Linked DNA regions of Elephas maximus indicus. Each later gene encodes a partner of the first gene's protein in a complex. Links are inferred from orthologs where the notes say so. Each region holds a gene or a part of one and is shown in the gene's direction. Other genes may lie near its edges. The genes, in order: NOD2 and MAP3K20.

The links.
Region 2: NOD2 (region 1) and MAP3K20 share a complex: the UniProt entries of both Homo sapiens proteins name them as parts of the signaling complex. The link is inferred for Elephas maximus indicus from reciprocal best matches to the Homo sapiens genes NOD2 and MAP3K20.

Annotation. Positions count from the first base shown.
Region 1 is NC_064839.1:17,191,030-17,203,041, forward strand, and holds the start of NOD2 (nucleotide-binding oligomerization domain-containing protein 2), read left to right. Parts: upstream 1-7,226; 5' UTR 7,227-7,305; intron 7,306-12,012. UniProt on the Homo sapiens protein: Pattern recognition receptor (PRR) that detects bacterial peptidoglycan fragments and other danger signals and plays an important role in gastrointestinal immunity.
Region 2 is NC_064824.1:71,224,826-71,236,084, forward strand, and holds the start of MAP3K20 (mitogen-activated protein kinase kinase kinase 20), read left to right. Parts: upstream 1-6,787; 5' UTR 6,788-7,157; intron 7,158-11,259. UniProt on the Homo sapiens protein: Stress-activated component of a protein kinase signal transduction cascade that promotes programmed cell death in response to various stress, such as ribosomal stress, osmotic shock and ionizing radiation.

The DNA of each region.
Region 1 (12,012 bases):
AATTGACGTGCACATTTTTGGGGGGACATAATTCAATTCATGACACAAATCATGGTTTGAAGTTGCATTTCTCTAATGAGTGATGATCTTGGGTGTCTTTTCAGCTGCTTGTTTGCCACCCTTATATCCACTCTCTTGGGTGAAATGTCTTGAACAAGTCCATTGCTCATTGGATTCTTTTCTTGATGGTTTGTAGATTTTTTTGTGTATTCATTTGGGTATTTGCACTTCTCAATATTCTTTTCCATCTTGAGGTTTATGTGCACTCTCTTAATGGGGTCTTTTGATGAAAAGGAATTGTAACTTTAAAGTATTCGACCATATCAATCTTTTCCTTTATGGCCAGGACCATACCTCAAAGTCACGGCAATTTCTCCTTTATTTGCCCCTCCTCAACCTCATAGGAGCTTGTGAGGCTTTAGATGAGTCAAGATGTGCAAAGCACTTAGAGCGTTGCTGGTACATATGACCAAAAAACCAAACCAAACCCATTGCCATCGGGTTGATTTCGACTCATAGTGACTCTATAGGTATATATTAAGTGCTGTAAAAATACTGGCTATCACTGCTATGCAAAAAGCTTTATAGTTTTGCCTTTCTCATTTTGGGCTCTATAATAATGCACTTAGAGTAGATTTTTGTGTATGGTGTGAGGTAGGAGTTCCAATCCCACCCCGTGCTTACCTAGTGACCTTTTCTATTGAAATGACCATCCAATCCCATTGCTCTGCAGTGCCATCGCTGTCGTAAGGAGTATCCACATACTTAAGAGTTTGTTTCTGGGCAGTGCTCAGGGCGAATACCATGAATAGTGTGCCTCTGGCCTGCTAGCGGTGAGCCACTTGTGTGCAGCGGGAGTGTCTTACTTGCCTTTTCGTCACAGAGGGCCTAGCATTGTGTACAACGAGGCTGGAATGCCCTGTCTCTCTTCTCTCTGGGTAGCGTTCTGCAGCTTTCCTACTTTCTCTCCCACTCTCTGCCCTGCCCTGTGCAGACCTGGAATCTGTGAGACACCAGGAGAGACTTGTAGCCCTTCTCTGTAGCCCTATGCCTGGTGTGACCCCTTCACCAGGCAGCCAGCAAGCGTAGGGGAAGAACATGTGGTAGGCTCTGCTTCCTCTTCTGGGGGCAGGAGATCCTCTGTGGAAACCCCCTGACATGGAGGGGGTGTCTAGCTTGTGGAGAAAGGACGTGGTAGGACCAGAGTGACCAGATGCCATGCTTAGCCACCCTCTGGGCATCTAAGGGCATGTGTTTTCTCTGAGGTTGAAGTTGATGGATCTTAGAGCATGAATAGCTTCAACTGTGCTAGATCACACCACATTGTTCCAGAGTGGTGGACAACTTGTGCAGCTTGTAACTTCTTGTGCCCTCTACAGCACACAGGTCCACACGGTGGAGGAAAGCAGGCAAGGGCTGCTGCCATCGAGAGAGGGCACAGGAGTGGGCATCCCCCAGTGCAGCACTGAACCCAGGTGGTGAGCAGGGCCACTGGGGAGTCAGGAAGGGGAATGCTGGTATCTCAGAGTTCAGGTGCCTCTTCTAGAATCAAGGTCAGAGCACGTCTCTCCCATGCTTGGACCATTCAGTAGCTTCCCGTGACCTTCAGAGGAAACCCCAACACCTCACTGGGGCCTAGAGGCCTCCTTGATTTGCCACTCACCTCCCTTGCTGACCTTATTTTCACCGCTCCCAGCATCACTGCTACAACCAGCCCTCCTAAACCACTTTCTCCCCCTCGAGCACACCTCTGGGCTCTGTCCTTGCGATTCCTTCCGTTCTTTCCAGGGCTGTCGCTTTCTCACTCTTTGGGGTCAGCTTCAATGTCTCTCCTCCCTGCGGCCTTCTCCCTGACCCCTCTTCGGAGAGTTATCATTGTTTTGTTTACTTGTTTGTTGCCCGTATCAAACGCCACGATGGCAGGGACATTGGCACACCACCCCCATCCCCTAGCACAGTGCCTGCACGCAGCAGGTGCTCAGTAAGAAAGTGTTGAGTGAATGAGTGAGTGGATGCAGAGAAGAGGCCATTTGGGCGACAAGTGGCCACTGTGTGATCCTGGGCAGATCACTACCACGCTCTCAATTTCAGTTTCCCTAATTGCAACATGAGGTTAAATTAAAGGGCCTCCTGCACCTAAGCGTTCCGTAAAGGTGTTGTGAGGAGTATGTGAGGAATGGATGTACAGTGCCTGGAATACAGTAGATGATCAGTAAATGCTAATTTATTCACATTATTGAGTGGGATCGCTATGAGTCAGAATCGACTTGACGGCAACTAATAACAACAACAGTCCCTGGGTGGTGCGCATGATTAACACACTCAACTGCTAACCAAAAGGTTGGAGGTTCGAGTCCACCCAGAGGTAGCTCAGAAGAGAGGCCTGGTGATCTCCTTCCAGAAAATCAGCCATTGAAAACCTTAACCCACTACCCAGTGCCGTCGAGTCGGTTCCGACTCATAGCGACCCTATAGGACAGAGTAGAGCTGCCCCACAGAGTTTCCATGAGTGCCTGGTGGATGTGAACTGCACTCTCTTGGTTAGCAGTCGCAGCCCTTCACCACTAGGCCGCAATTTTGCTCTGACACAGATGGGGTCTCCGTGATTCAGAATTGACTGAATAGCAACTGGTTTTTGCCTTTTGACTTCCTAGTGCTCACTTCGTGAACCCACCCACTGGCACTGTGGAAGAAAGGCCTGGTGATCTGCTTCCAGAAAAGATTAAAAAAACAGCCAAGAAAACCTTACGGAGCAGTTCTACTCTGTAACACACTGGGGCACCACGAGTTGGCTTGACAACAGCAGGTTTGGTTTTGGTGTATGTGCCAGGAAATATGGCAGGTTCTAATATATATATATATATATACTCCTCATAAATAACAATATCTAAGATGTTGAATTTTTATTCCCTCCTAACCGTATGGAAACTGAGGCCAAGAGAGCTTAAATAATGTGCCCAAGGGCAAACAGCTAAGTGGCAGAACTGAGATTTAAATCCAGGTTTGCTTGAGTCCCAAATCCATTCTGTTTCCAACTGTTGCCTCCCATTGGGGCACAGAGCAAGTAGAAGCACAGAGGTAGGGATACCAAGAGCCGTAAGGAAGCTGGTGTGGCTGAGAGTGGGTAGTGGGAAGATCATCCCCAAATTCACTCATTTGGGCCTGGTTGTACAGGAGTTTGGACTCTGGTGGGTGGGGAGGGGCCTGTTCTGGGCTGCCTGGAACAGGAGACCGGCAGAGAGACAGTCACCTAGTGCAAGCCTGGGGTCACCTTCTGGGTTGGCAGCAGCTGGCTCTGGGCCTGGGTCTGCTGGAAACAGTCCTGGCTCCTGGGGGCAGCTCTCGTGCACAGGTAGCCGGCAAACCTGCTCCTCTGCCAACCTTCCCCCCACCCCGCCCCGGAGAGTTTTAAATGTCACAACCTAGAAGATTTCCCTAGAAGAGGAAAGGCCCAGGCCCGGAGGCTTTGTCCCCCCGGTACCCAGGACAGAGAACCTGTGGGCAGAAAAGTCACTAGGATCCCAATTGCCATCTCTAGGATAGGGCTCTGCAGCCAGGGAGATGCTCCTTAGCTCATTGAAGAGAAAGCTTTCTGAAGATTATTATTTTGCAAGTAACACATGCTTGGAGGCGCTGGGTGGCACAAACAGTTAAGTGCTCAACTAGCAGAAATGTCGGCAGTTTGAACCCACCCAGAGTTGCCTTGGAAGACAGGCCAGGTGAACTGCTTCCAAAAGGTCACAGCCTTGAAAACCCTATGGAGCAGTTCTACTCTGCACAAATGGGGTCGCTGTGAGCCAGCATTGACTCAATAGCAACTAACAACAACAACAATAACGGTGTATGCCTATACACAGGTTAAGCATAAAATACAGGTTAACAACAACAATAAAAAGCTAAAAAATCCACTTACAACCCAACCATGAATTTGAAAGGATAATCTTTTGGATTTTTCAATGCATATATTAATAGGTTTATGTTACAGATAACATAATAGGAGCATACTACACGAAACACTTTACAACCCACTTTTTTTTTTTTTAATAATTTTTATTGAGCTTTAAGTGAACGTTTACAAACCAAGTCAGTTTGTCACATATAAGCTTATATACACCTTACTCCATACTCCCACTTACGAGATCTCCCCCTAATGAGTCAGCCCTTCCAGTCTCTCCTTTCGTGACAATTTTTCCAGTTTCTAACCCTCTCTACCCTCCTATCTCCCCTCCAGACAGGAGATGCCAACACAGTCTCAAGTGTCCACCTGATACAAGTAGCTCACTCTTCATCAGCATCTCTCTCCCACCCGCTGACCAGTCCCTTCCATGTCTGATGAGTTGTCTTCGGGAATGGTTCCTGTCCTGTGCCAACAGAAGGTCTGGGGACCTTGGCTGCCGGGATTCCTCCAGTCTCAGTCAGACCATTAAGTCTGGTCTTTTTATGAGAATTTGGGGTCTGCATCCCACTGATCTCCTGCTCCTTCAGGGGTTCTCTGTTGTGCTCCCTGTCAGGGCAGTCATCGGTTGTGGCCGGGCACCATCTAGTTCTTCTGGTCTCAGGATGATGTAAGTCTCTGGTTCATGTGGCCGTTTCTGTCTCTTGGGCTCATGGTTATCTTGTGACCTTGGTGTTTTTCATTCTCCTTTGATCCTGGTGGACAACCCACTTTTTTTATGGAGCTAGAATTCATATGCCATAAAGTTCACCTTTTCAAAGCGTACGATTCAGTGGTTTTTAGTGGATCCACAAGGTTGTGAAACCATCACCATTAACTACCTGCAGAATATTTTCATCACATGAAAAAGAAGCCCTGTACCCATTAGCTGTCACCCCCTACTCTCACTACCCTCATCTTCTGGCAACCACTAATCTATTTTCTGTCTCTATGGATTTGCCTAACCTGGACATTTAATATAAGTGGAAACATAGAATATGTGGCCTTATGTGTCTGGTATCTTTTACTCAGTGTAAGAAAAAAAAAATTTTTTTTTTCTTTTAATGTTTTCAAGGTTCATCCATGTTGTAGTGTGTATCAGTACTTCATTCCTTTTTTATGGCTGAATAGTATTCCACTGTATGGATATACCACCTTTTGTTTATCCATTCATCAGTTGATGGAGATTTGAGTTGTTTCCAACTTTCTGATATTAAGTATAATTCTGCTATGAACATTCCTGTACAAGTTTTTGAGTGAACATGTATTTAATTCCCTTGAGTATACACTTAGGAGTGAATCTCTCAGTTGTACGGGAACTCTGTATTCGACTTTTTGAGGAATTGCTAAACTGTTTTGTACAGCAGCTGTACCATTTTACATTCCCACCAGCAACACAGAAGGGTTTCAATTTCTCCACATCCTCGCCAACACTTGCTATTACCTGCCTTTTTGATTATAGTCATCTTAGTGGGGCAAGTAGTATTTCGTTGTGGTTTTGATTTACTTTTCCCTAATGGTTGTCTTGGAAGAAGTACAGCCAGAATGCTCCTCAGAAGCAAGGGTGGAGAGACTTCGTCTCACATACTTTGGACATGTTATCAGTACGGACCATCCCCTGGAGAAGGACATCATGCTTGGTAAAGTAGAGGGTCAGCGAAAAAGAGGAAGGCCCTCAACCAGATGGATTGACACAGTGGCTGCAACAATGGGCTCAAGCATAACAACGATTGTGAGGATGGCACAGGACCGGGCAGTGCTTCGTTTGGTTGTATGTAGGGTCGCTATGAGTTGGAACCGACTAGACAGTGCCTAAAACAACAACTATGTATTCATATAATACATAAATACTTGTACTAAAGCCTGGCACCTAGTAAACACTCTGTAAAATTAGTTGTCTCCATTATATTTCTTTAAATCGACTTCACATTTTTTACAAATCCAAATGCATGTTTTTTTTAATTGTGCTTTAAATGAAAGTTTACAGTTCAAGTTAGTTTCTCATACAAAATTTATACATACATTGTTATGTGACCCTAGTTGCTCTCCCTGTAATGTGCCATCATACTCCTCTTTCCCACCCTGTATTTCCCGTGTCTATTCAGTCAGCTCCTGTCCATTTCTGCTTTCTCATCTCGCCTCCAGACAGGAACTGCCCACTTAGTCTCATGTAAGTATTTGAGCTAAGAAGCATGCACTTCACAGATATCATTTTATGTCTTATAGTCCAGTCTAATCTTTGTCTGAAGAGTTGGCTTCTGGAGTGATTTTAGTTTGGGGCTATCAGAAAGTCCTGGGGCCATGTCTTCTGGGGTCCCTCCAGTCTCAATCAGACCATTAAGTCTGTTCTTTTTACTAGAACTTGAGTTCTGCATCCACTTTTCTCTTGCTCCGTCAGGGACTCTCTGTTGTGTTCCCTGTCAGGATGGTCACGGGTGGTAGCCGGGCAAATGCACGTGTTTTTAAAGGAACTTTTATATTAATACCTTAAGTGGAAAACCAGGTCACTTGCTCTGAGAAACAGTTAATGAAAACAAATCCGCGGTATCAAATTCTAGTCAGATATTGTGGCCAGTGGAGGAGACTAGACAGTGTTAGACAAGGAGCACTAAACGGAGATGTCTCTCCTGGACTTAAACAGAAAGATGGAAAGAAAAATGAAAAAAGAGGAACTTCACCGTCACATGACTCCTTTCTATGTCATGCCTGGCTCAGGGTCACCTAACATGTAACCCATCACACTCCGGAAACGCTGTTCAGGGAACTGAGCTTTGCAATTTTAAGGCTTTAGATGGCTGTGGACTTACTGACTCTTCTTTCTTTTGGACTTACTGACTGCCTGAAGGTGCACTGATTAATACTGACACCAACAGCTTTTCATTTCACAGGATACCACCGTGTGTGTGTGTGTGTGTGTGTGTGTGTGTGTGAGAGACAGAGAGAGGCAGTGTGTGTGGGCGAGTGTGTGTGACTATGTGTTTGTAAGAGTGTGTAAGCGAGTGTGTGGGACAGTGTGTTTCTGTGTGGGGGGAGAGTGTGTGTGTGACTGCATTTGTGAGACTGTGTATGTGTGTGGGTGCGCGCGCGTTGGAGGGGTGTTCCAAGACTCCCTCGTCCGTCTCCTAGTTCAAATGTGACGGAAGAGAGATACACGCTGGCCGGCTCTCCCAGCCGGTGTCAGTCACCCAGCCTAGGTGAGCTCCTGCCGGCGGGGAGGCGGGCACTCCCAGGGGGTGCGGCCCGCTCGGGCCGAGGAGGGCGGAGTGGGGAGCGCAGGGGCGGAGCCGGGCGCCCGCGCAGCCTGAGCCCGAACCGAAGCCGGAATCGTGGCCCAGGCCGGGGTCGAGGAACCGGGCACCGGCGGCTTTGCGGTGAGTGCTGGCTCAGGGCGCGCTACCTGCGCACCTGCGCCCAACACCTGGGCGGCGGGGAGACGGTGGGCGCCGAGGATCCCGCCTCCCGAGTCTGACACCTGGCTCCAGAGCCGTCCCAGCCTTTGGGTTTGTAGAGGGGCTGCCTCGGTTTCCCCTTGGTGAGCTCTGAGGAGTAGATGGGGGGCGGAAGGAAAGGAGGCGTCTCCAGGGCGGGGAGCCCCCAGGCGGTCTGCGGCTACAGAGGACGTCCGAGAGCCCCCAGGAACCTTTGAGATTAGGGGACCAGCTGACTTGGGGAGTCGCGTGGTTGGTGGGCGGGAGGATGTGAAGGCCAGAGGCACAGGGCCCCGCTTGGGTATGGGAATCAGAAACAGCTTCAGGTCTCAGTGGGGGCCACTCTTTGCCCAGTCCTTTCCTCTTTCTGGGCCTCAGTTTCCCCAACTTTACCAAGCCTGTGAGTGTTTGTGAGTCTGCCTAGCTGCTCCCTAACACCTCCTTGGGCTCTTTAGTTCTCGTAAGAGTCCCTGCGTCCTCTGCCCCACCCCCTTCCGTGGGTGTGAGACCCCAGTTCATCCCCCACCCCTGCCCAGACAGGCCCACTCCAGGCTTGTCCAGAGCCCTCCCCTCTGCCATATGCCCTCCCCTCTGCCGCTGTGTTGGTGGAGCAGCCATCCGGTCCTACCAGCTTTCCCACAAACTAAAAAAGCCTCCCCAGCTCCCCTGGGGAGGGTCTCCCTTAGCTGGAGGAGGGCTGGCAGCTGGACCCCTGGCTCTGAGTCTGCCCTTGCCTCTCTTGCTGTCTCCCAGCCCTGTGACATCTCCCTGCCCAAAGCTTCTGTCTCCCCATGGGCTGTGGCCTAGCCTCCTCCAAGGTCCTTGTTGCACAGAGGGCAAAAGCCTTCCCCAGCACCGCTACTGTACCCCTAACTTGGCCCTTGGTGAAAGAGACTGGAGAGGCACTCCCACGACCCTTCTCCTATCACTCTGCTGGTTTGCTGGTCACTCAAGGCCCCTTTGCCTCTTGGTGTATTGGGATCTGAGGCAGAAAGGACCTTAGCTCACTGTGGCCTCCAGCCCCGCCCACCAAGTGCAGAATCCCAGCTGAGTGCTGGCCCAGCCTCTGTGGCACATGCCGGTGGCGGGGAGCTCCCTACTTACAAGGTGCCTTTTCTGAGTCCTGCGGCTCTCCTGACATTTAGCCAAAATCTGCAGGGTGCGGCTTCCACCTGGGTCCCACCTGTGCCTCCTGGAACCTTGCAAAGTAAAGTCACCCATTCATTCAAAAAATCCTTATTGATGCACTGAATGAGACATGGGGGATATAGCAATGAAGCACACAGACAAAACTCCCCGTTCCTCGCGGAGTTCACATTCCAGGAGTGTGTCAGGCAACGATCAAATAAGTCCATACATAGTGTGTCAGGTGGTGAGAAGTCCTACGGAGAAAACAAAGCAGGAAAGAGGGTCAGGAGGTGCTGGGCTTGGATATTGCAGTTTTAGATAGCGTAGTTGGGGAAGGCCTCTTCAAGACAGTGGCCACTGAGCAAAGCCTTGGAGAAGGTGAGGGGTGAGCTCTGTGGATCTCTGGGGGGAGGGAGGGCATGTGCAAAGGCCCTGAGGCAGAAGCATGATGGGAGGGAGCAAGCCTGGCTTGTTCTAGAAATAAGGAGGCCAGTGTGTGTGGCTGGCTGGAGCAGAGTGGGGGAGGGGGATTAGTAGGAAATAAGTTCAAGAGGGTTGGGAGAGGGGGCGTCCAATGTGTAAGGCTGGAAGGTCACTGTAAGGGTGTTGCTTTGTACCCTGAATATGACGGAGGCCACTGGAGCAGGGAGGCAGCTGCTCTAACTTAGGGTTTAGCTGGTTTACCTGGCTGTGGGGGGGAGGATAGACCAGGGCGGTGAGGGCAGAGGGGAAGACCAGCGAGGCGACCCCAGCTGCTATTCAGAGGCGAGGCCATGGAGCTTAGGGTGCAGCATAGCAGTGGTGAGAAATTACCAGATTTTCAGATTTGGGATCTCTTTTGACATTAGGGTTAATAGGATATGGGGTGTGAGAGAAAGGGTGCAGTCAAGGAAGATGCCGAGGTTTTTGGCTTGAAGTACCTGGAAGTTTGGAGCTGCCATCAACAGATGGGGAAGCTGGTGGCAGGAGCTCTTTAGAGGGAGATCAGGAATCTGGTTTGTATTTTTAGAATTTGAGATACTGATTAGACATCTATCTGAAGATGTCTAGCAGGCAGTCGGGAAATAAAATTTGGGGCATCATTACTATATAAACCCCAACCACTTGCTGTTGAGTAGACTGACTCATGGTGACCCTGTGTGTGTCCGAGTAGAACTGTGCTCCACAGGGTTTTCAGTGACTGTTTGGAAGGCCACCAGGCCTTTCTTCTGAGGCACATCTCAGTTGACTCAAACCACCAATCTTCCTGTTTACAGACAAGCACTTAATTGTTTGCACTACCCAGGAACTCATATCACCATATAAACCAAACCTGTTGCCGTCAAGTTGATTCCGACTCACAGCGACTCTATACGAATGAGCAGAACTGCCCCATAGGGTTTCCAAAGCTGGCTGGTGGATTCGAACTGCAGCCGAGTGCTTACCCACTGCACCACCAGGCCCATCATCATGAAAACCCAACCAAACCCATTGCCATCGAGTGAATTCCAACTCATAGTGATCCTATAGGACAGAGTAGAACTGCCCCGTAGGGTTCCCAAGGAGCAGCTGGTGGATTCAAACTGTTGACCTTTTGGTTAGCAGCCAAGCTCTTAACCACTGCACCATCAGGGCTCCCATCACCATGTAGCTGATATTTAAAGCTATAAGATCAGGTGAGCTCACTTAGAGAGACAGTGATACCTGGAGAAGAGATTACAAATTCACAACTCTCCCGGACTTTAGCATCCAGCTAAGGAGACTGAGAAAAAGCAGCTAGTGAGGTGCGAGGAAAACCCAGAGGGTGGAGTGTCCTGGATGCTAGTGAGGATACAATTGGGCAAATACCCTGGGCAGAGCGAGCGAGAAAAGAGGGCTGAGACATGAGCAGGGTGGCATCACTGGTGACCTTGGCAACAGCAGCCTGGGGAAGGGGTGGGGCGAAAGATCTATCAGAATGCATGGGAGGTGAGGACTTGGAAAAGTCATACAAACTACTGCCTAGGAGTCCTGCTGCACAGGGGACAGAGAGGTGGGACTGTGGCTGAAAGGACGAGGGGCTTTACTTTTAAGATGGGAGAAATTATAGTCTGTCTAGGACCACTCAGAAATGGTGTTCTAGAGAGAGAAGCTGGGTGAAGAGGACAGAGAATGGAGGGTGTCTGGAGGAGGTAAGGAGGTGGGCCCAGTACCCCAGCGGAGATGTGGACCCCGCTGAGAGCCAGCCTAGCTCAGAAGTGGGCTTCCCGGGCCCTCCCTTCCTCTCCCATCTGCAGTGGGCTAGGATTTCAGTGCTGTAACTGGCACATGGCCCCAGAGAAACCCAGGCCTGCCTTGCGGTCTCAGGAAGGATGGCAGTGCCAGGGCCGAGGACTGGGCATGGGGACAAGGACGGGTCCCCAAGGGCCACTCCCTTGGCTTGACCCTGTGTTCCAGCAAGAAAGTGCCCCTCTGCCCTTTCTTTGCACAAGCCTCACTTTCCCTGGGTGGCACAAATGGTTACGTGCTCGACTGTTAACTGAAGGCCGGCAGTTCAAACCCACCCAGAGGTGCCTCGGAAGACAGGCTTGGCAATCTGCTTCCAAAAGATCACAGCCTTGAAAACCCCATGGAGCGTTTCTACTGCACACACATGGGCTCACCATGAGTCGGAATCAACTGAAGGGCAAGTGATCACTTTCCTTGAGGAAGGGCAGTAATGACTCCAAAGTTGTGAATGAAGCAAATAAGAAGACAGTGGACATAGACTGATTTGTTTAATCTGAAGAGAGGAAGGGAAGGGACAGGATTTTAGGGACAGCCTTTATGAAATAAGTGGTGGGTGAACATCTTTTTTCCTTTTCCCAATTTAAAGGGAAGCAGGAAAAACTTAAGCTAGACATTATGAAGAACTTCCTGATTTAGTTAGTGAGGATTGCAACAATGTCAGGTCCTCCTCCCCGGATGTTTACCATGAGACAAGACAACGCCTGTTTGGGGTCAGGGGGCTGGCTGAGTTGATCCTCGGGGATTCTTCCTACTCTGAGGTTTCTGGAAGAAGGCTGGGACAGAGATGGGACTTTCCATCTGCTGATGGGAGGACAGAATGTCAGGCCTCATGTCTAGGACCTATCCCTCCCTTCTAGTCTCTGATGACTGTGACAACAGAGCCCTGACATCACTACCCTGAGTGGGTTGTGGCTAGAGCCTCTGTAAGCTGCCCCCAAATTGGTGTGTTTGGGAAGAGGCCCAGTGACTCTCAGCATGTCCCCCTGTGGGTGTGTGGGGCGGGGGACATCTGTGGGTGTGTCTCACATCGCTGGTGAGGTTTCTCAGCGAGGGTGATGGCGGATGCACAAGCCTCTGTGTCAGAACTGCTGAGAATAACCTCATTCTGGATGGTTGCCCAGCCAACCCTGACTTCTGGTCCATCTGTTCGGGGTCTCCCCAGTGGTGGGGTCTGTGGACAGATCCAGGCCTGTCAGTCCAGCTCAAGACCTGCCCACGGACAGCTTGGCCCTGATGTTCCCCCAAGCTTAATGGGTGGTCGTGGAGAGAGGGTGC
Region 2 (11,259 bases), on another chromosome or scaffold:
GTGGGATTTATACCAGATACGCAGGGATGGTTCAACATTTAAAAAAAATTAACGTAATTCATCATATAAATAAAACAAAAAACAAGAATCAGAAGATTTTATCAATTGATGCAGAAAAGGTATTTGACAAAGTTCAACACCCATTCATGATAAAAACTCTCAACGAAATGGGAATAGAAGGAAAATTCCTCAACATAATAAAGGGCATTTATACAAAGCCAATAGCCAACATCATCCTGAATGAAGAGAGTCTGAAAGCTTTCCCCTTGAGATCGGAAACCAGAAAAGGATGCCCTTCATCACCACTCTTATTCAACATTATGCTGAAGGTCCTAGCCAGAGCAATTCGGCTAGATAAAAAAATAAAGGGCATCCAGATTGGCAAAGAAGAAGTAAAAGTATCTCTTTTTGCAGATGACATGGTCTTATACACAGAAAACCTAAAGAATCCTCAAGAAAACTACTGAAAGTAATAGAAGAGTTCGGCAGATTATCAGGATACAAGATAAACATACAAAAATCAGTTGGATTCCTCTATACCAACAAAAAGAACATCGAAGAGAAAATCACCAAATCAATACCATTTACAGTAGCCCCCAAGAAGATAAAATACTTAGGAATAAATCTTACCAGAGATGTAAAAGACTTATACAAAGAAAACTACAAAACATTTCTGCAAGAAAACAAGAGACCTACTTTAAGCCGAAAAACATACCTTGCTCATAGATACGAAGACTTAGCATTGTAAAAATGTCTATTCTACCAAAAGTGATCTATAGATACAACGCAATTCCAATCCAAATTCCAAGGACATTCTTTAATGAGATGGAGAAACAAATCACCAACTTCATGTGGAAGGGAAAGAGGCCCCAGATAAGTAAAGCATTACCAAAAAAGAAGAACAAAGTGGGAGGCCTCACTCCACCTGATTTTAGAACCTATTATACTGCCACAGTAGTCAAAACAGCCCAGTATTGGTACAACAACAGATACATGGACCAATGGAACAGAATTGAGAATCCAGACATAAATCCATCCACATATGAGCAGCTGATATTTGACAAAGGCTTGAAGTCAGTTAAATGGGGAAAAGATAGTCTGTTTAACAAACGGTGCTAGCATAACTGGATATCCATCTGCAAAAAAATGAAACAAGACCCATACCTCATATCATGCACAAAAACTAACTCAAAATGGACCAAAGACGTAAACATAAAAATCTAAAATGATAAAGATCATGGAAGAAAAAATAGGGACAACTTTAGGAGCCCTAATACATGGCATAAACCGTATACAAAACATTACTAACAATGCAGAAGAAAAAGTAGATAACTGGGAGCTCCCAAAAATCAAACATCTATGCTCATCCAAAGACTTCACCAAAAGAGTAAAAAGATTACCTAAACACTGGGAAAAAGCTTTTAGCTATGACATTTCCAATCAGTGCCTGATCTCTAAAATCTATATGATACTGCAAAAACTCAACTACAAAAAGACAAATAACCCCAGAAGAACTAGTTGGTGCCTGGCCACAACCGATGACTGCCCTGACAGGGAGCACAACAGAGAACCCCTGAGGGAGCAGGAGATCAGTGGGATGCAGACCCCAAATTCTCACAAAAACACCATACTTAATGGTCTGACTGAGACTAGAGGAATCCCGGCGGTCATGGTCCCCAAACCTTATGCTGGCCCAGGACAAGAACCATTCCCGAAGGCAACTCATCAGACATGGAAGGGATTGGACAGTGGGTAGGAGAGAGATGCTGACGAAGAGTGAGCTATTTGTATCAGGTGGACACTTGAGACTGTGTTGGCATCTCCTGTCTGGAGGGGGCATGGTAGGGTAGAGACGGTTGGAAGCTGGCAAAATTGTCACGAAAGGAGAGACTGGAAGGGCTGACTCATTGGGGGAGAGAAAGTGGGAGTATGGAGTAAGGTGTATATAAACTTATATGTGACAGACTGACTTGATTTGTAAACGTTCACTTGAAGCTCAATAAAAGTTAATTAAAAAAAAAAAAGACAAATAACCCAATTAAAAAACGGGCAAAAGATATGAATAGACACTTCACTAAAGAAGACATTCAGGAACTAACAGATACGTGAGAAAATGCTCATGATCATTAGCCATTAAAGAAATGCAGATCAAAACTACAATGAGATTCCATCTCACTCCAACAAGGCTGGCATTAATCCAAAGAACACAAAATAAGAAATGTTGGAGAGATCGTAGAGAGACTGGAACACTCATACACTGCTGGTGGGAATGTAAAATGGTACAAGCACTTTGGAAATTGATTTGGCGTTTCCTTAAAAAGCTAGAAATGGAACTACCAGATATCCCACTCCTTGGAATACATCCTAGAGTGATGTATTCTTACATCCTTACAGTGATGAATCTGTGAAACATTTCATAACATGGAGGAATCTGGAAGGCATTATGCTAAGTGAAATTAGTCAGTTGCAAAAGGACAAATATTGTGTAAGACCACTATTATAAGAACTCGAGAAATAGTTTAAAGAGAGAAGAAAATATTCTTTGATGGTTACGAGAGGGGGAAGGGAGGGAGGGAAAAAGAGGGGTATTTACTAATTAGATCATGGATAAGAACTATTTTAGGTGAAGGAAAAGACAACACACAATACGGGAGAGGTCAGAACAACTGGACTAAACCAAAGCAAAGACGTTTCCTGAATAAACTGAATGCTTCAAAGGCCAGCACAGCAGGGGTAGGAGTTCGGGAGCCATGGTTTCAAGGGACATCTTAGTCAATTGGCATAATAAAATCTATTAAGAAAACGTTCTGCATCCCACTTTGGAGAGTGGGTTCTGGGGTCTTAAACATTAGCAAGTTGTCATCTAAGATGCATCAACTAGTCTCAACCCACCTGGACCAAAAGAGAATGAAGAACACGAAGGACACAAGGTAATTATGAGCCCAAGAGGCAGAAAGGACCACATAAACCAGAGACTATATCAGCATGAGACCAGAAGAACTAGGTGGTGCCTGGCCATAACCAATGACTGCCTTGACAGGGGACACAACAGAGAACCCCTGAGGGAGCAGGAGAGCAGTGGGATGCAGACCTCAAATTCTTGTAAAAAGATCAGACTTAATGGTCAGACTGAGACTAGAAGGGCCCAGGAGGTTATGGTCCCCAGACCTTTTGTTAGCCCAAGGCAGGAACCATTCCCAAAGCCAACTCTTCAGACAGGGATTGGACTGGACAATGGGATAGAAAAAGATGCTAGTGAAGAATAAGCTTCTTTGATCAAGTAGACACTTGAGACTATGTTGGCATCTCCTATCTGGAGGAGATATGAGAGGGCAGAGGCGGTCAGAAGCTGGTGGAATGGACATGAAAATAGAGAGTGGAGGGAAGGAGCAGGCTGTCTCATTAGGGGGAGAGCAATTAGGAGTATATAGCAAGGCGTATATAAATTTTTGTATGAGAGACTGACTTGATTTGTAAAGTTTCACTTAAAAAAAAAAAAAGCACAACAAAAATTTAAAACCAAAAGCAGTTACAACAGTACGTCAGAAAAGGATGTGGAATGAGGGATATCATTGCTTATGTCACATGGATCTTGACTGAAAGCAGAGAATATCAGAAAGATGCTTACCTTTGTTTTATTGACTATGCAAAGGCATTCAACTGTATGGATCATAACAAAGTATGGATAACATTGCCAAGAGTGGGAATTCCCGAACACTTAATTGTACTCATGAGGAACCTGCACTTAGACCAAGAGGCAGTTGTTTGAATAGAACAAGGGGTTAGTGCATGGTTTAAAGTTAAGAAAGGTGTGCATAAGGGTTATATCCTTTCACCATACTTATTGAATCTGTATGCTGAGCAAAGAATCCGAGAAGCTGGACTATATGAAGAGGAACACAGCATCAGGACTGGAGGATGACTCATAACCTGTGATATACAGATGACATAACCTTGCTTGCTAAAAGTCAGGAGGGCTTGAAGCACTTACTGATGAAGATCAAAGACTACAGCCTTCAGTATGGACTACACCTCAACATAAAGAAAACAAAAATCCTCACAACTGAACCAAGAAGCAACATCATGATAAATAGAGAAAAGACTGAAATCAAGGATTTCATTTTATTTGGATCCACAATCAACGCCCACAGAAGCAGCAGTCAAGAAATCAAATGACGCATCACATTGGGCAAGATTGTTATAAAAGACCTCTTTAAAGTGTTAAAAAGCAAAAATGTCACCTTGAGGCCTATGGTGTACCTGGCCCAAGCCAGGATATTTTCAATCACCTTATATGCATGCAAAAGCTGGACAATGAACGAGGAAGACTGAAGAAGAATTGATGCCTTTGAATTATGGTGCTGGCGAAGAATATTGAACATACCATGGACTGCCAGAAGAAAGAACAAACCTGTCTTGGAAGAAGTACAGCCAGAATGCTCCTTAGAAATAAGCATGGTGAGACTTTGTCTCACATACTTTGGACATGTTATTAGGAGGGGTCAGTCCCTGGTGAAGGACATCATGCTTGGTAGAGGGTCAGAGAAAAAGGGGAAAGTCTCAACAAGATGGACTGACACAGTGGCTGGAACAATGGGCTCAAACATAGCGACGATTGTTAGGATGGCGCGGGACCAGGCAGTGTTTTGTTTAGTGTTTGTACACAGGTTTGCTGTAAGTTGGAACTGATTCGATGGCACCTAACAACAACAATTGGTTAGAATTAACCAAAATGATTTCAAAAAGATTGGATAGTTTGAAAGAATAGAGTCAGTCACAGGAAAAGGCATTGGACAATACGTTTAGGGGCCAAAGAAATCTGCATAGTCATATGGAAGCAAGTAGCTTAATGAAAGAAAATTAGACTTGTGGCAATTAGTTCATCACACAATTTTTATGTATTTATTTCAGCTATGGACAGATATAATAGAAGATAAGAATAGCCTCAAGGAATTTGCAGTCTAATTACGAAGACCCGAGAATGCCTACCAGATTATTGTTAAAGCATGTTTGTGAGACTACTCTACAGTGTTTATTGTTCTTGCTGGCTATTCTCTTAGCCTAATAATGTGGGGAAAATAGAATAAAGGAGAAGTAGATGGGAAGGAAGGGGAATGTGGCTAAGAAACATTAAGACTCTTATGGCATGCAGGCCAAACTTAAAGCAATACATCCATGGTTTTAAAGCTGGAAACTGCAAGTCTCTTATTTTGCAGACAAGGAAACTGGGGCCTGTCTAGCAAAACTTCCCAGCTGTTCAGTGGCTGGACTCAGGACCTTCCTTGACCTGCAGCCTAGTGTCCTTTCTGTCACAATAAAGTGTCCTTGAAGGTGAAATAAAATGATTGAAGTCTCCTTATACCTGGGTCTAAAGAGCTTTAGTTTTCCCTTTGATGGTTGGATGGTTTTTAAGAATTACTTGATTACCTAAATCAGGAATTCTTTTTTTGTATAACAGTTTTCATGAATCCTCATACCTTGGTTATGAAAACAGAAAACTATTAATGCTAAAATTCCCAGTCCTTATCAAAGAGAAAATTCAATAATTAATGTGAGTAACAGACTAGAAATTTTTTAACATATATTCACCAATCCCTCCACTTTCATGTCTTGAACCTATACGATGATTTGCAAATTTTATATTTCCCACCTGTCCTCTTTTATGAATTTCAGTTTCATGTTTCAGCCACCACATCTTTACCTGTTTTCCTCCCATGACCTAGAACTCAACATGAAGCCAGCCAGCTTCCCCTCCACACATCACTATTTCTGTCAATGACACTATCATTCTTCCAGTCATGCAATTTTGATCTTGGCATCATCTCTGGCTCTTCTTGTCTTCCACATCTATTGGGTCACTAATTTCAGTGGCCTCTTGCTGAAAAATCTCTCTCAACTCCATTTCCTCTTTTCTAATCCCATTTGGTACACTCTAACCTAGGCTCTCATAATCCTGTAACTGCTTCCCAGTTTTGCACTAGCAACCCACCCTGCAACCGTTGTAGGAAGAACGTACCCGTTGCCGTGGAATCAGCACCGACTCACAGCAACCCTACAGGACAGAATAGAACCATCCCATAGGGTTTCCAAGGAGGGGCTGGTGGATTTGAAATGCCAACCTGTTGGTTATCAGCTGAGTTCTGAACCACTGTGCCACCAGGGCTTCTCTAAAACATCATCAGAACAAAAACTTTATTCTCTTGTTTCTGACTTTCCACAGTTTCCCTGTAACCAGGGAGTGTAAAATTCAAATTCAAAACCCAGAATACGTGACCTATACCTTTGCAACCTCAGCTCACACTTTCCTCCACAGAACCATCCTCCCCCAATCAACAGTCATTTTTCTTCCCAATACCCATTCCCACTTTTTGCCCACATCCGAAATGGATTCTAGTTCCCTCATCTGATTTCTGCTCTGTTAAAACCACCAACCAGAGCAGTAGACCATGACCCTTCCTCGAAATTCGAGAAGGTACCTACTGTTGGTTCTACCGAAGCAGCCTTCATCCCTATCTCCTCAGGAATATCTTTGTATGTCTACTCCCTTCCCAATTTAACTTCTGTAGGACAGTAAGTAGTCTCCTATCTCTTTGTATCCTACTGCCTATCGCCACAGTAAATGTTGATGAGAACTGCCTTGATGGAATTGGTAGTGTTACTACCAACAAGATGGTAAGGTACAAAGGGGCGAAGAAGTCACTCCGCCCCCTTCCCCCCCCTCCGCCGTTCTCCCAACTACAGGGCAGGTGCACTTTGAGGACAGGGAAGTCCCCTAACAGCCCCCCGGGGGGCGCGCAGACGTCCTCGGTGGGTTCCTGGGCGGATCGCAGGCCTCGGTGATGAAGGCCCCGGAGGCCAGAGTTCGTTCCCCACGCCCGGCTTGCTGGCGTGTGTGAGCGGCTGCCGGGTAGGCGGGCGTGCCAGGCGAGGGCAGGGGGATTCCGCGGTTTCGCGGTTCCGCGGTCGGAGGTAGGTGGTGCTGTTGCTGTGACTGTCTTCCTCATTGGCGCCGGGCGGAGAGGCGGAATGTTCAACTCCTGACTCGGCGGAAGCGTGGAAGCTGCGCGGGCCGCCGTCCTCCCGGCCCTCTGCCGCCGTCCTCGCTGCGCGCGGGGCCTCCGCGCCCAGCTGCTGCTCGCGCCCGGTCGGGGAGCCAGGTAAGGGCCAGGCTGGAGGCCGCGGAGGCCAGGGAGGGAGGGAGGCAGGCCCGCCGCGCTCGCGAGTTGCCCCATCGTCTCGGGGCCGAGGCCCAGTTGGAGGCCGGAGTCCAGCGGGCCTAGGGGCGCCCCACAGGGCACCCCTTCCCGGGCCGGGCTCCGCCCAGGCGGTAGCGGCGGGAGTGAGCGTTCCCGGCTTTCGCGGAGCTCAGTGCTGGACCTCCGCAGCTCCGCGACCAAGTGCAGCTCGGGGAAGTTCGGGCCCGACAGACGGAGAAGTTGGCGCCGGAAGAGCGGGACGCAGTCCCGAGCGTCTCAGGCTTTCTCGGCCCTGGGCATGCAGCGCGGTCGTGGGACGCCTCGTCGCTCGCGGCGCTCCTCCTCCCGGGCCTCGCTTCCCATCGCAGAACACGGGGCCCGGCCGGCCGAGCCCTGGACCCCGGGGCGGGTAGCGCCGGACAGCCGGTTTGCAGGGGCGAAACGCGGACCTCCCAAATCAGGGCAGGATGCAGACCATTTCCCATCAGAGGTCTGTGCGTGCGAGCAGAGACGCCTAACTTCTGCTTTCTAGGGCACTCGGCCCAGAGTGGTATTTCCCACCGACAGTGACGGCTCCCTGCCCTTCCTGAGGCGTCCTTGAGCAACCTGGAGCTCGCAATCGCCCGCACACTCGAACTTCCCCACTTTACTTCCACGAGAGCAGAGGGGATCCCCTTGACTGACCCCTTGGAGGCCCCGGTTTCGTGCACGCTGAGACCTGCCGCAGGCCCAGAGACGAACGCTGAGGCTGCCTCCACGCCTGCTCGCTCGTGACAGCTATCCTAAAAACTTTAAAGCTCGTTAGATGACATTGAATTTCTTGAAAAATGGGGTGCTATTATTAGATTTTTCGACTCGTTTGTTTGTTTGTTTTGGTATTATTAGATTGCCGAAAATGTATGTTCCTGATGCGCTAGATACCTGGCATAAGCACTGTTATGGGGGACTTAATTACTATTTGTGTTAGTTTCTTCAATAATGAAATCAACACAGTTTAGTGGCCTATTCCAGTGTTATTAACAGTAAGCAGCTTGCAATACTGGTGTGTTAGAATCGTATTACAGAATTAATTTGAGGATATCTGAGTTAATATTGTTAAAGTAGACTTCTGTATTCACCCTAGAGCTGTTGTAGGAGAGCCTTCTGGCTTTCCTGACATTAACTAAAGTGAACAGCCAGGATTCAGTGGATCTAGACCTGCAACATATTTTAAGACAGGATTAGACAAGTGAGTCAAGGCCAGTTAATGACGTCTTTGTAATGGGACCATCTCTACAATGAAATTTCTTGCTGTTTTTTCATTTTAAAAAACGTATGTGATAGTGGCATTTAAATTATGGTTTTAGTCATTTGTAGAGCTTTTGTTTGCATTCCTGCTACAGTAGTGAGAGACTTGGGAGATTGCAAATGAATGTGAATTTAGTTTGTTTGGAAAGAGAATTCAGATAAAGAAAAATGGTCTTTTGGAGCTGTGTGTACTGCTAATTTTAATCTTTAACACTCTGATTCCTACTATAACTTTTTGGGGTTATTTTGGGAGTTTTTTGTTTTTTTATATATAAGCTGGAAAATATTGTTTAAATCCAAAGTTTTAGCAGTTATATTTCCAGGTAAGTGACCATAATGCAATGGCCAGGACATTTTTTTTCCTTGTCCAGGAAAGCAAATAGATGGTTGATCTCTTTTTCTAATTCTTTTAGGGAACACTTAGGTCACATTAAAGAGAGAGAGAGAGTAATATCCAAATATTAAGAATTTGGATCTAAAAATGGATGGTCAAAGATCTTGGGAACTAAGGGACCTTCTTGCCAAAAACAGAAACTTGGCAAGTTGCACTGTATATTTTAAGTCAGTACAAGAGTAAGTGTTATTGGCAATACATTGGCTGAGTGCTTATCTGGAATGAGTAGTGAAACTGACTTTGATAGGGCTACAAAACTGTGAACTGAAGTCATGAGGGGCATGGAGTGAATAATCCATTCATCAGAGAAGACACTTGAGAAATTACAATGACGTTTCTTGAAGAGTTCAGACATAAAGTGAAGCTATTAGTGTGGAGTTGAAAGAGCAAATGGATAGTTGATTCTGGAAATTGATAGATTCAGAGATGAGAAGGAGAGAATCTTTTTTTTTTTTTTCAAACAAGAAAAAAGTGTGCACGGTGATACAGTGTTGCTTGGAATAAGATTTTTAATATCTGTATCCTGAGGTGTAGGAAATAAAAATCAACCTGGATCATTTGTTTTCCATTTTATTCCACCCAGGAAAGATTGACAGGGAGGGTACCTTGTGTATCTAAATGTAATAGGAAGAGCTAAGGCACCTTTTGTTCTTACTACAGGGAAGATGAGGCTAATTGTCTTGTGTCTATTAGCCCTGCCCCACTGCACACAAATAAGCAGAGTTCCAGCTGTGGCCAGAAAACTGTACCTGTTAAGGGAAGAGAGCTATAATGCTAGCGCTTAGGTTGGTTTGATTGATACATGGGTGCTTTTGTGTGAAACACTGCTATGGACAGCAGAAGCATCGATTATGCCCCAAAAGTGGTTAAATAGTCCCTACACAGTAGAAGAGTCTGTGGGAGCAAAGCAGCCGCACATTTCACACCCTAACCCCAGCATCACAATTCCTAATAGGAAATTAAAGCCTCATTGAACTTAGGTGGATGCTAAGCAATCTAGCAATTACTGTAATAAGAAAAGGTCTGCTTAAAGTGGTGGTGGAGGAGGGAGGGAAATCAGAAGAAAGAGGCAGAATGAGATATAGTGGAAAAAGACTGATATGGCATGGTGGAAAAAATGATTATGACTTGGAGTCAGACCTGAGTTTGAATCCCAGTTGTACCACTTGTACATATGTAGCTTTCACACCCTTGATCCTTCGTTTCCTCAGATAGGAATTGGGGACAGTAATAGCTGCTTTATAAGGATAAACCTATGAGACATCACATGGATATGCTTGAACTAATGCCTGGAGCTTCAGCCACCATAGCTGAGTAGTGGAGAAGGCTGCTTTTCCACATTTCTCACAGTTTACACAGAGAAGGATATATCCAGCTGGGGCTTGCTCTTGGTAGCCTGCCCTGTCCCTATATCATACATATGTGTGTATGTAGGAGGTGGGACCTTTTCATAGTTAAACTCTCCTGCTTTGAGTTATAAGGATTTCTAAATTGGCTCTGTGTACCTCAATGTTTATATACAGCTTTGTAATATTCTTGAGGGAGGATCTGAAAATTAATGGATTTAAATATCTATATGAAAAATTTAGAAGTTGTATGAATAGGTGAAACTACTTAGAACGATTCTTAAAGCTGATTGTGAGCACAGCTTGTCTTCAGGGCCCAAAGCCCTTCTTTCTGGACTCACGTCTGGTCTTCCACATAAAAAAAAAAATATAGGAATACCAAAATGCGAAGGAAAGAATTGTTCTCTTCTACGTTCTCCCAAGATCTAAAGGTCATGGAGCAAATATTTGCTTATTAAACTTTTCTACCAAAGTACTCTACTGCGGGGAAGGATGAATGTGTTCCTTCGGGGATCTGTAAACACGACTATCGGTACCCCCACTGCAAGCAAGAACTCTCTTTGCAATCTCATTTTTTATCATAAAAATTCCTGTGGATTTTGCATTCTCTTCTATACTATTATTTTACTTTATTGATTAAGCCAGTACAAACAGACATTAAACAGATTTATTCCCCCAAATCTTAAAGTAAAATTGATCCTGGAGGATATGTGTTTATTCATACATCCTTTGTGCATTGCTATATGCTCCAGGTGAGGGAATACACACATTTGAGGAACGTAGGATTGGTCCCGATGAATGGAACTTCGTCAGTAAGTTCTGCCACCCGGCCCACTGCAGAGGTAACGCAATTTCGTTTTGCGGAGAAAAGAATAGGTAATCCGGATCATGATCCAAAGACTTTATTTCAGTGGTTCTACTGTGGTTTTCAAGATGAAGACAGCTCTTTGTTTTGGGAGTGGAAGGGGAAGAGTGAGTTGTAGGATGGAAATCTGGAGTGTGTCGCACCTTCCCAGCCAGTTTCGGCAGGGCTAGA